Regions from separate parts of the Mus musculus genome. Here all the other regions are reported to be linked to region 3. The links are microRNA targets in miRTarBase. Many come from high-throughput screens and were not tested one by one. Region 3 holds a microRNA gene; each other region holds the end of a gene's coding sequence.
What was found. The annotated mature microRNA mmu-miR-212-3p reads UAACAGUCUCCAGUCACGGCCA and lies in region 3 at 2,807-2,828, opposite strand. An mRNA with a match to its seed (bases 2 to 7 or 8) in the 3' UTR can be bound and repressed. Matches are read on the target gene's strand: a 7mer-m8 pairs with bases 2 to 8, a 7mer-A1 pairs with bases 2 to 7 and ends in A, and an 8mer does both.

Region 1 (4,183 bases), not on the chromosome of region 3:
CCTCAGGACTGGGGAAAAATTAAAATATATACATATTAATTGAACCTAGGTTTCTTGTATGTATTCTTGGAGGAGTTAAGGGTTGGGAAGTAGATTTATTTTCTAAAGATGCTCAGTGTTTGGGTTTCTTTTCTCTTCTTAGGAACTTCAAGGAGTGTCCACCAGTTTCTGGCTATGTGTGACAGGGATGAAACTCCCCAAGGGGTCAAGTACACAGGAAGGACTTTGAACTACCGAAGTCTACCTCATCGTTCCAGAACTGATGCTTCCTGGGGACCAGGGTCAGAGACCAACCAGCACATTGGGGCCAGAGTCCTAACTATGCCAGCATGCAAGCCTCAGCTAACCTACACTGCCACACTACCAGAAAGACACCAGGGCCTTCAGGTTCCACATGCTCAGTCCTGGGGGAATCTTTTCCACTCACCCTCCCATCCTTCTGCTGTTCACCCAGGGTCCCCACCATCCAGCAATCTTCATGTACCCCTTAGGTCAACTTGGAATTCTGGTCCTGTTCTGGGGTCCCGAACACCTGGTCCACGAAGAATAGACATGCCCCCAGATGATGACTGGAGACAGAGCAGTTACCCCTCCCAGGACAGACACAGGAGCCCAGGAGAGGAAAGAATTATGTTTGCTCTATCAAATGCTGCTGGAAGAGAGCAGAACAGGGTGAGATTTCTACAGCACAGCAGGTGGTAAGGGCCACCCTAACCTGCCCTGGAGCTACACCTTCATCCATAAAACTGTACGGCGGCGCAGTGACACCTTGTTTCCTGCCAGTTATGCCAGTCTCATCTCAACAGACTTGGCCATTTCATTCCAGGCACCATATGCCTGTAATCCCAGTAGTTGGGAGGTAGAGATTGGGGAATCAGCATTTCAAGGCCAGAGACTGGGGTAAAAAGAGACTGTTTGTTGTTGTTGTTGTTTTGTTTTAAAGAACAGAACCACAACAACAAAGAAGACATTGATTTTTTTTTCCCCTAAGGGTGTTTGCTGCTTTGAGAGGGAATATTTGAAATTCCAGCTTTAGAGTTGGGGATGTAGCTCAATTGGTAGCGTGTTTTTGTAACATGCACATCAGCCATGGTTCTATCCTTAGAAGTGTGTGAAACTGACCATGGTGGTGCACAACTGTCATCCTAGCACTTGGGAGACAGAGGGAGGAGGATCAGAAGTTCAGGGTTATCCTTGGCTACATAACAAGTTCTAGACTAGTCTGGACTACTTTAGTTCTGGTTCTTTTGGCCCCATCTCCATCAGAGCCCTCATCTTCTGGTCCTACTATACTCCCAACTTACACTCTTTGTTTATCCACCTGTCCATATTACTTAACATTCTTTCTTCCCTATTTCGTATCAATGGAAAAGGGGTATTTATCCCCATAGTCAGGATTCTGACCACGTCCTTAAGGGAAGCCCAACTGCCCAGGTATTATGGCCTGTCAGCCTTCCTTGTGACTCAGACTTTAGGCCTAGAATGTGGAGCTGCCAATACACTGTTTGCCCTTCTGAACAGATGGAGTTGGGCACACTAACACCCCTCCTGTCCTTAGCAGCAGAGCCATTACTACCACTGCTCACTCACCCTTGTAAACTCTCAAGAGTCAGCTAAAGTATTTTAGGGCAAAGCATACTGGTTTTGTAAAGTATTTTTCATTAATAAATCTATAAGATAGTTGTATTTAATCTCTTGTCTTTTACTTTTGTATGTCCTTGCTCTTTTCTTCTGGGGTCGGGAGGCTTCAACATTTATATGAAATGCCTTTGACCAAGTGAAAATGAATAGCCAAAGAGGAATTTAAAAATACAAACTGACCAGGTGTGGTGGCACACACCTTTAATCCCAGCACTTGGGAGGCAGAGGCAGGTGGATTTCTGAGTTCGAGGCCAGCCTGGTCTACAAAGTGAGTTTCAGGACAGCCAGGGCTACACAGAGAAACCCTGTCTCGAAAAACCGAAAAACCAAAAAACCAAACAAAAAAAACAAACTCACTTATGGAGTCAACATATCTTTAAGAGTCTTTCCCTCTTGTTATGGCTGTTAGCGTGTTAACTATCCCTCCCCTGCCTGGGACACTCAGTGCATTACATTCTCCATTCCTCCCCTTGTCTTCTGGGCATTCAAACCACCTTGACAAACTCACTCCCAGTACAGTACCAGCCTTGGTGCCTTTCCTCTCTGCATTCCAGGTGTGTGATGTGACTCCAATCCTTTGCTCTTCCTATTGCCTTGCTCCCTTTCCTTTCCCCTTAAGAGTCAGAATATCTCTGTGATAATGAGAGCTATCTTCACCCATGACACACTCCCAACAGTCTCTTTCCTTTGAAAAGTATTTTGTAGTGGCTGGAGAGATGATTCAATGGTTAAGAGAACAAGCTGTTCATGTATTGGACCCAGGTTCAGTTTTCAGTACCACATAGTGGTTCACAATATTTGGTAGCTCTAGTTCCAGGGAATATAATCTACTCTTCTGCCCTCTATGGAGACTGAACACATGTGGTGCACAGACATTCATGCAGGTAAAACACATAAACACACAAAAGAAAATAATTTGGAAGGTTCCCTTTGCAAAGAATGTCTATTGGGTTTTCCCTCCTTATTTATTCCAGATCTTGATCTTACTGATGAACACAAAGAAACAACAGATGCTGAGAACGTTGCCCTCCTAATCACTGAGGACAGATTCTGAGAACTTGTGTTACTGAGTAATAAGATACAGAGGGCTTTCTTGTTTCATCCTATTTGGATGCTATAACATAGAGACATGGGCCTTAGTAGATATGTTGGCCCCTGAACCATTCAACACTGCTCGTGTCATACACACAATTCTATCTTTTTGGAAGAAGTGTAATGACTGTGCATATGTATGAGGAGGACACATGAAGGCTAGAGTAAGCTGTACTAGTCAGTTCTCTTTTAATACCTTGTGTGCCCTGTGGTTCCATTACTGGGTTTGGTGGCCTATGCCTTCAGCATCTGAGCATCTTATTAATAACTGTTAAGGACCACCTGTACTTGTTTCTTGACCTCTTGGATGCTGGTCAACTTGGATCTGTTTCTGCAAGTTGCCCAAATTCAAATTCCGAGTATGTACAAAGATAAGGAACTAATTTCCTATTTTCTACCTACTTAGTCTCTGCTTTCCATTTTTTTCTATTTCATTTCTTTATTTACAAGTTTTAGTAGATGTCAGACTAGAAGGAGTCTAATTCCTTCTTTCCATTGTCTCCTTCGGCCATGGGGATTAGTCCTAAGGAACTTAAATCACAGTCCTTGGCTGCAAGCACCTTTATCCATTGAACCATCTCTCTGCCTTCAAATTTATTTGCTCAGTGAATTACGAGAGAGGCAATGGCTTTCCAGGGGAATCTTACAGGTTCTCAGGACACCTCTTGGTGTCATTCCCTACTTCCCTTGATCCATTTTGGTTCTTAAATCGTGGTGCTTAGACTTTTCCAGCTGAATTTATGTGCCTTTGGACTTTTCCAAACTCTCAAAGCAAGAGTTCGAATTCTATGCAACTCTCTAGGGCCCCGTTTTGTTGAGACAGTCTCACTTTGTTGCCCTGAGTGGTTAGACCTAGCTAGACTTGAACTTACAGAGTTCTGCCTTCCCCTGCCTCCTGAGGTCTGGTATTAAAGGGAAAATTTCATTTTAAATGATAATGCCACTCTATAGATTCCCTGATGCTTCTTTCATTTTTCTCTCTGGCCATAGTATTATCACTTAGATTTTGTAGATAAATTGTCATATATTTGTCTAGGCCTGGGAAATTCTGAGATCAAATTACACCTCTTCATTTTCCTGGGCTCCAAAGCGGCCAAAAAACCGTCCTTTTTTCCCCTTGCATTTTATCAACAGCCCCTCAGTTTAATCTGCAACCTCTCTTTACTGGTTTGTCTTTCTGCATGTACGGAATTTTCACCTGATCCCTTGGACTGTTTCCGTTTCTGTAGTAGCCTCGGTAATTTTGCTCAAGTCCCTGGAGCTTGTCCCGCCCCCGCCCCTGCACGCGCGATGCATGACGGTCTTAGCCCCTCTGAAGGGAAAGAGGGTCCGCCATGTTCCCCGGCGGCGCCGCCGCTTGGCTCTGGTAGCCGCCGCCCCCGCCCCCAACCCCGCCCGTCCCGGCACCTAGCCGAGCCCCGGGCCCAGCATGGCCGCCCCGGAGCCGGCC
Region 2 (4,183 bases), not on the chromosome of region 3:
TCAGCTCCATCTCAGGCAGCCACGAAGCACACACACTGAAGGTTTTCACCCCCTGCCTGTGTTCTAAGCACGCTTTCTCTGGCACTCCAGGCTGCAGCCTTTCTCTAGAGTGCTCTCTCTACCTCAGGGTTGCTTGGCTGCTGTGTGGCTGACCTCCACACGCCCTCTCTAGGTCCAATCCCAGGGGATCCAGTGCCTCCCTCTGACCCCTGTGGGCAGCAGACGTGTGCACACTACATACACTGATGTACCTAAAATAAAAATCTAAAAAGTGTCCATGATCTTAAATAAGAACCTCACATAACACCATTTTCTATTCTGAAATAAAATTCAATTGTACTGAGCAAAGAGGCCAAAATAATGTGTACGTCCACAGTGTAATTCCTTGCTAGTGACACTAACTGTCTCCCTGTGCTTTTGTCCTCCCTCAGTACCGCCTGGGACTGACCGCTCAGCCTGAACTCTATCTTCTGAACACCGTGGATGCTGACTCAGTGGTGTCCAGATGACTAACAGCCCAGGAGACCTTAAGAACACTTTCTCTAAGCCCTTTCGGGCCAAGTGCCTGTTAGCAAATCCCTTAGTTCGGAGGTGAGCTTGTTCAAAGGTTTTTGAACAAAGGAGAAGTTCTCCTCACGGACTCAGGGTAAAAGCTGACAGTTGCGTATGGGTCAGAGACCCTTCGGAGGCAGTGGGCCTGTGGCAGCTGTGCAGTCCCTCAGGCTTGTGTCTGCACTTCTGGGGTTTAAAGTGTATCGATATGTATTTATGTGAACCCAAACGTGCCAGTTTGGGTAAGATTTTAAGGTTATAAAACTTGATAGATTTTTACAAATGCCTTTCAGGTGAGTTAGGTCTTTGTTCTATTTGGGTAACAAATGAGAAAGGGACCTTTCTGACGATGAACTTCCCCAAAATAACTCTTGAAGCGCTGCTTTACCACAGTGTGTGTGTGTGTGTGTGTGTGTGTGTGTGTGCGCGCGCGCGTGCCTGCCTGCTTCTGCTTGTGGGGGCCACGGGTTGGCATCAGGTGTCTCCAGTCTCTACCACAGTGTGTGTGTGTGTGTGTGTGTGTGTGTGTGTGTGTGTGTGTGTGTGTGTGCGTGCGCGAGTGCCTGCCTGCTTCTGCTTGTGGGGGCCACGGGTTGGCATCAGGTGTCTCCAGTCTCTCTCTGAACATGGAGTTCAGTGTGTGACTGAGCTAGCCAGCCAGTAAGTTCAAGGATCCTCCTGGCCTCGCGCCCCAACACTGTGGTCCCAGATCAGCTGCTACGCCCAGATTTTACACAGTGCTGGGGACCCAAACTCAGGTCTTCCTGGACAGCAGGTACTTTACCAACTTTCCCCCTTTGTCTCTACATCAAGTGTGTCTGTGGCTGTTGTTCCGTTGGTGTCTGTCCACCTGCCCTTTCTTCCCACTCTACGCGCTGACACTCCACACACTGTCCTCACCCTGTCTCTAAGGGCCGCCCGTATGTGTACCGCTGAGTGTCCTGAGGAATTTAAGCATTTTAAGGTGTGTGTTAGCAGAGGTCTGAGGCTCGCACTCGATGGGAACACAGACCATCAGTTTCACTTTAAGCACCGACACTCCAAACGCGCGTGTGCAGGTAGTGAAGCTTTTTGGTTTTTGCTTTAATCCCAACCAGAAATAATCATCCTTGTTATAATAAAGTTCATGCTTAATAGCTAAAAGCTTTTGTCTAGGGGTGCGACTCATTTGTAGAGCTCTTTGCTTGCCCACCACACACACACACACACACACACACACACACAGGCACTCCTGAACACACAAACGCACACACTCATACTCTAACTGTCTTCTTAGGGAATCAGTTAATCAGTTACAGCACTTGACCTGCGTTCCTACCTGGCAGTACAGTAGACAATACAGCAGGCTAGAACTGAATCATAGCTGCCCACTGTCATTGCCATGTGTGCCCCAGGGGCACACGGCTTATCGGGCACAGGGCCTTCATATTCTTCTTTACTTTTTTGCTCTCTAGGCTCTGAGTCTGTAAACCCCATAGGCTATGTGTGACTTTAAATGTCACATTCATCTTTCAGCATTAAATGTAGAAACAGAGAGATCAGACATTACTCTTTTTGTTTTGTTTGGTTTGGTTTTCTAGGACAGGGTTTCTCTGTGTAGCCCTGGCCGTCCTGGAACTCACTCTGTAGACCAGACCAACCTTAGACTCAGATCCACCTGCCTCTGCCTTGAGTGCTGGATTTAAGGGTGGGAGCCACCACCTCCCAGCTTGCGAGGGCATTTGCTAAATTCACCCTTTACAGCTTCTTCACGTCCACCTTGGGGCCTTTAAAAATTTTTTTTTAATTTTATTTTTTAAAGATTTTATTTAATTTATATGAGTATATTCAGACACGCCAGAAGAGGGCATCAGCTCTCATTACAGATGGTTGTAATGTGGTTGCTGGGAATTGAATCAGGACCTTTGGAAGAACAGTCGGTGCTCTGGACTGCTGAGCCATCTCTCCAGCCCAGGGCTTACCTAGAACTTGTTATGTAGACCAGGCTAGCCTCAGACTTAGAGATCCTCCTGCCTAGCCCCCAAGAGCTGGGGTTGAAAGTGTGCTCAGTTCTGCTTGGCCACAAGGCCACTGAAGACTTAGAACAGCCTTGTAGCCTAGGTCACAGTTCTGACCTTAACAGACAGAAGCAGCAGCAGCTGGGCTGAGCTTCGGTTACCGAAGTCCCTGTGTTTCGGTTTGGTGAAGACCCGTCACAGTCCCAGATGAACCCATTTCTTGTACACCCACCCGACCCTCCACTTCTGTTTCTCAGTACTTCTTTCCCTGGGAGATTATGTGGGAGAAGAAAGACTGAAGACAGAAGCATCCTGTTTTGCGATTCATACAAAGGTGAGGCAGATGAGAGAGGTCAAGAACTCTCAAGGCTTTCTGTAGCTCCTCTCTGCGCTTCCTCTGGGTGCAGGTAGGAACAGAGATAAGATGCCACACATTCACAGGTATCATCTCCCCGAGGCCTCACAGCTTCTTGTCAGCAGAAAGTATAATACATACCAAATCCATTGAAAGATTGACGTCTAAAGAGTGAGCCTTGGTTAAGCTTTATGCCATTAAGAACAAGTATGAACTTTGGCTAGCATTCATGAAACCCTTGATTCAACCCAACACTGAAGAAAAAAAAGGGGGTGGTGGTGGTAATGAGGCCTGTGGTGCGCGCCAGCGTTCCAACACTGGAGAGAGAGCTAAGAGGATCAGAAAGACCAGGCTCACCCTTGGCTTTGTGTCCAGTTAAAAATCCTGCGATTTGATGCTTCTTCTGAACTCTTCAGGCACCAGACATGCATGTGGTACACAAACATACATGCAGACAGAACATACACATTAAAAAAAAAAGCAAAAAAGAAGTCAAAAAATGTTAATGGTGCTGGCAAGATAGCTCAGGAGGTAATTAAATTCACCTGCCACCAGGCCTAATGACCTGAGTTCCATCCCAGAGAACCCCAGGGTGGAGAAAAGCAACTCACAAAATGTCTGATCTCTACGCATGCTGCGGCTCCTGTACACCCGTACATACATGCACAAGTCGTTAAAAGTATAACTTTAACAAAACATTCAGCTTGGGCATGGCGATCTTTGTTATTCAGACGATTGGAGGCTGAGCCAGGAGGATCTCAAAATCAAGGCCAGTTTGGGCCACATGCCAAGATCTTGGTCTTAGGGCACAAGGGACTAGAGAGGTTACTCAGTGGGTAAGAGCACTGGCCACTCCCAGCACCCTCGGGGCAACTCACATCAGTGACTCCAGACCCAGGGAATCCAGTGCCCTCTGGTAGCTTCTTGCATGAGCGCACGCAAAATACCCAAAACAATGAACCAGTAACAATCATAATTTTCTACTATATGGTAACAAGTCTGGGCTTCTGTATATAGTGGCATTATAGAGCAGTATTAATCTGTTTCTTAAAATACCCAAGAACAGGGTACTTTATCAGAAAAGAAGTGTATTTAGCTCACAGTATAGTTCAAAGACATGGGGCTAGCTAGCACTTCTACTGAGGGACTCTTGCCCCATGGTGGATGGTACCAAGTGAGGCAGTAGCAAGAGGAAGAGAACATACCAGGGGACCAAGAGATCATTTGTTCATTCATTCACTCATTCATTCATTCATTCATAGTCTCCCCCCTCCCCAAC
Region 3 (4,183 bases):
TTTTAAAATTTCACGAAAGGATAGACTGGAATTATACCCCAAAGTCCCATGTACTGATTTGAGATCCCTTTTTAACAGCTTGGGTGGGGGATTGGTCTCTGTGCCTTGTTCTTGCCTTACAGTGATTGCTTCCTTGACAAAAGGAGATTGAACACGTGGAATTTTATAAACCCTTTGGTCTATTTGCTTTTCTGTAACTAATTGGTGGGTTTGCAAGTTAGTACTCAGACCACTGGCAGTCATAGGCAGCCCCCTGTGTCAGCTCCAAGCTGGGGGACAGGATGACCTGTACTTGGTAGCCCTATAAATAAAGGCAAAGGTTCATGTGAGTGGTCTGTAGGCCCTGGCTCTACCAGGAAAAAGGGAGGAGAGGGTTCAAGCAGAGCTCTATTAGGTGGAACACACAGAAGGGCCCATGTCTGAAGTGAAGAGCCCTCCCAAGAATCAGAACAGTTCCGAGTCCCAACAAGTGGAGAGTTACTTCCCACCATGCGGAATGAACTACCACATGCACATCCCTGGGGGCCACCTACACAAGGAACACTTGTTAAACCTGGAGTTCCTAGAGAAAACTATAGACCTATTTGTCTGCCCCTGGTCATTCCTGATGTAGCTATTTGCAAACTACAGTCTTGGGTAGAATTTTAAGTCTCTGGTAAATATGTGGTATTAGGAAAGAGCCTCTAGTGGGACTCAAAACCCTCTGGGGAGAAAAAGAAGCCCCCTCCCCCCGAGGAATCAATGCTCTAACATTTATGTACAGCCCAGGCGGATAAGGTCCAGAGGTAGAAATAACATTTATTGAGAATTAACTATACCAGACAATGAGACAAATAGAAGCCTGTCATCTAACTTATTTTTGAGACGGGGGTCTCACGGAAGTTCTGGTTATCCTTGAACTCACAGAAATCCACTTATCTCTGTCTCCCAAGATCTGGTATTCAGAGCATGCTCTACCATAGCCTAACTCATTTATTTTTGGTGCTGGGATCAAACCCAGGACCTTAGGCATGCTAAGCACAGACCTACTACTGAGCTCTATGCCCAGCACCCCTGTCCCCCCCCCCCCCCATTGTCTAATTTCATGAAAAAGTACTGTCATTAACCTAATAACTGAGTCTTACAATTGAGGAAACAGGCACAGAAAGGCTAAGTACCTTACTCAAAATTGGATGATTCAGACTCAAAAGCCCCATATTCTTGTCTGTTGTCATCATCCCCCCCCCCTTTGAGACACGAATCTCATATTTATCTCATATTTATTGTCTAGGCTCCTGAGCAACTGGGACTGCAGGTATACACTGCAGCTCCTGGTTTTGGTTGGTCTTTCTGCTGTCCAGTAAAAAGCAAGCAAAAACTACCGCTCTCTATAGGCTAAATGCCCAACCTGGGCTTCTGCTTTCTAATGTGTAAAGTTGGGAAAGAAGGCATGGTTTACACTAAATGTTTTCTAGGACAACGAACACTCAAAGCATTATATAGTCAACCTTCTAACCACATCTTCTGATGGGTTCCATCTGCAAAAGGTCCTCTTTTCTTTTTTTCTTTTTTCTTTTTTTTTTTTTTTTTTTTTTTTTTTTTTTTTTTGGTTTTTTTCGAGACGACAGGGCTTCTCTGTATAGCCCTGGCTGTCCTGGAACTCACTTTGTAGACCAGGCTGGCCTCGAACTCAGAAATCTGCCTGTCTCTGCCTCCCGAGTGCTGGGAATAAAGGCGTGCGCCACCACTGTCCGGCTGTCCTCTTTTCAAATTATCCCTGCTATTTGTTTTCTGCATCTTGATTACACTCAGGATTTCTACCCTATCAGACAGAGTCTCTCAACAGCCCTAGCCACAGAGAGTATTTACGTGCAGTCTCTGTGGTTGTACTCCTTTTGGGGGCACGTTTGAAGATCTCAAGTTGGGATGCATTACTTACAGACCAGTTGAGGGAAGACTGCTGGCTGATACCTTCAGACAATGAATTAGGGGCCAGGTGAATTTCACTAGCCTGCCAGCTTCTTGCTGTGTTAAGGACCCTTTTAATGATGGCCCAGGAGAAAGTTGGGGGACAGAGTTATGGCTCTATCAGGAAAGGGATTCTTTGCCCTTTCCCCTCTACCTGCTCACCTAGGGTTTTCTGGAAGAAAGGTGTGATAAAACTTCCTTCTCCTCCCCCTTCAGCTTTCTGCTGGCAAAAGTGACTTCTTCCTTCTCACAGGACTCCTGATCCCATCGGTTCACCACTCATGAGATAAGAATCCTTATCGCAGAACCACCCATTTTCTCGCCACCTTAGGCAGCGATACCTCGACTAGGAAGACAGGAGAGTCTCTGAGGAGGATGTTCAGACACTCCGCGGATCTTGCTTCTGCACCGAGGTAGATGCACAGCAGCCTGAAAGGCCGCCTTTCTGAGCACACCTCTTGCCACCTCCGCAGACACATCGAATGTTGCGTCGCCGCCCCGCCTCCTCTTGCTCTGTATCTGCCCAAACCCAGGCTGGCAGAACTCGGGAGTGGTGGGGAGCGTGGGCGTGCTGCGGGGCGACCATGGCTGTAGACTGTTACCTCCGGTTCCCACAGTAACAATCGAAAGCCACGGTTGCCCTGGAGACGCGGGGGCGGGGCTTGCAGGCTGACGTCAGCACCGCGGGCGGCGGGGGTGGCGCGAGTGTCTGCGGGGCCTGCGCCCACCGCAACCCACAGGGACCTTGAACAGGCGTGCCCGAGGGAGGCGCTTGCACTGCATCAGCACCGCGGACAGCGGCGCAGGGAGGCGTGGAGGGGCCGGGGGTCGGCGGTCCTGGGGCGGGGCCAGGCGTCGGTGGCCGTGACTGGAGACTGTTACTGAAGGCGGCCCGGGCAGTAAGCAGTCTAGAGCCAAGGTGCCGGCGCGCTGCCCGGGCGGGGATATCCCGTCGCCCGCAGTTGAGAGTGCTGCTGCTTCTCAGGCCCCCCCACCTCCTCCCAAGCGCGCGCGGACAGACACGCGACCGTGACGTCAGAGTCCTGTGACGTCAAAGATGTCCCAGCGGGGAGGCATTTCCGGCGGTGGGGAGCGGTGGGGGTAGGGCGGGGCGGCCTGATCGAAGCCCCGCCCCCGCCTGGTCCTGAGAGGACAGCTCCGCTTGCAGAGGCGGGAAGTCCTGAGCTCAGTGGGACAGTCCGATGGGACGGGACGGGACCGGACGGGAAGGGACGGGACAGGGAAGGGGCGTGTGTGGAGCATGCAGGACGGGGGTCCCAAGAAAGCCGCAGGGCCGAGGTGTGCGTCTGTCTGTCGTGGGCGCCCTGGCTCAGTCAGTCGGGGCCATCTAGGCTGAGTCACCGCTCTGCGGACAGGGGAGAAATGAGGGGGCGCGTCTCCTGAGACGCCAGCACCTTCTCCCCACTTTCTTGAAAGGATGGCGCAGGAGCTGCTCAGCCTCGGGAAATGGGGTCGGGGGCTCGGCTCTCCGCTTGATGTTTCTCCATAGTGTCTGCGTCTGCATTTGGGTGCCGGCAGGTGCTGCATAGGGTTGGGTCAGCCGCCGGCCCCTGGTCCACCAAGCTGAAAGGAACCTTCGTCCCTCCCACTCTGCCCCCCATCCTCACTCCGGAGTCCCCCTCCAACCCGCCGCCCCTCCGGTCCCCTCCTCGCCTTCCCATGGCGTCCGCGCATCTGCCCATCTCCGACTGTTGGTGGTCCTTACCTGTCGGGCCGCGTCGCACCAGTGCCGGCTTGCCTCCCGCAGCCCGGCCGGCGCCGCCGCTTTTATAGGCGCGCGTAGTACTCGTGCGGCGGCTCATTCATGCGGCCGCGGCTCCTACACACTGACGCGCTGCCGACGTCAGCAGAGAATTTAGGAAACGGGAAAAGAGGCTATTTATAGTGGCAAGCGGGGAGGGGGGGCGTAGGGGAGGGCGGGACGAAGCGACAGGGAGTTGGAGCGGGAGGAGGGTGCGCACGCGGAAGCAGGGTTGGGTAGGGGAGTACGTAACCCCAGGCTTGGCCTCCAAGGGGTTAACTTTCCGGAACTGCAGGCGACGGGCTGGGGGAGAATAGTGCAGGGAGGGTGAGGCCCCGTTCTGTGTTTATTCACTCTCCCCTTCCGGGGCTTTGCGAGTCCTAGGATCTCAGTTCTTTTCTCCTGGACCGCAGGGGTCCTCCCTTGGCAGCCCCAAACCACACTGCTCATTCCCTAGACCCTACAGTCCTCTGA

Region 1: miRTarBase lists Usp54 as a target of mmu-miR-212-3p. Seed matches in the 3' UTR shown: 7mer-m8 at 910-916.
Region 2: miRTarBase lists Slc11a2 as a target of mmu-miR-212-3p. The part of its 3' UTR that is shown has no 7-base or 8-base seed match.

What each region holds. Positions count from the first base shown.
Region 1 is chr14:20,546,420-20,550,602 of GRCm38, reverse strand. It overlaps Usp54 (ubiquitin specific peptidase 54), which reads left to right. Exons shown (of 21, transcript NM_030180.2): 21 at 143-1,691. The coding sequence ends at 702. It overlaps Ppp3cb (protein phosphatase 3, catalytic subunit, beta isoform), which reads left to right and starts at 4,030. Exons shown (of 14, transcript NM_008914.3): 1 at 4,030-4,183. The coding sequence starts at 4,163. All of the region lies in intron 1 of 1810062O18Rik (RIKEN cDNA 1810062O18 gene), which reads right to left.
Region 2 is chr15:100,385,410-100,389,592 of GRCm38, reverse strand. Slc11a2 (solute carrier family 11 (proton-coupled divalent metal ion transporters), member 2) reads left to right here. Exons shown (of 17, transcript NM_008732.2): 17 at 432-1,695. The coding sequence ends at 509. Among named protein-coding and RNA genes, the nearest start is that of Higd1c, 23 kb to the right of the region's middle.
Region 3 is chr11:75,172,088-75,176,270 of GRCm38, reverse strand. It overlaps Mir212 (microRNA 212), which reads right to left and starts at 2,883; the gene lies at 2,793-2,883. It overlaps Ovca2 (candidate tumor suppressor in ovarian cancer 2), which reads left to right. Exons shown (of 2, transcript NM_027136.3): 2 at 1-328. It overlaps Mir132 (microRNA 132), which reads right to left and starts at 2,589; the gene lies at 2,524-2,589.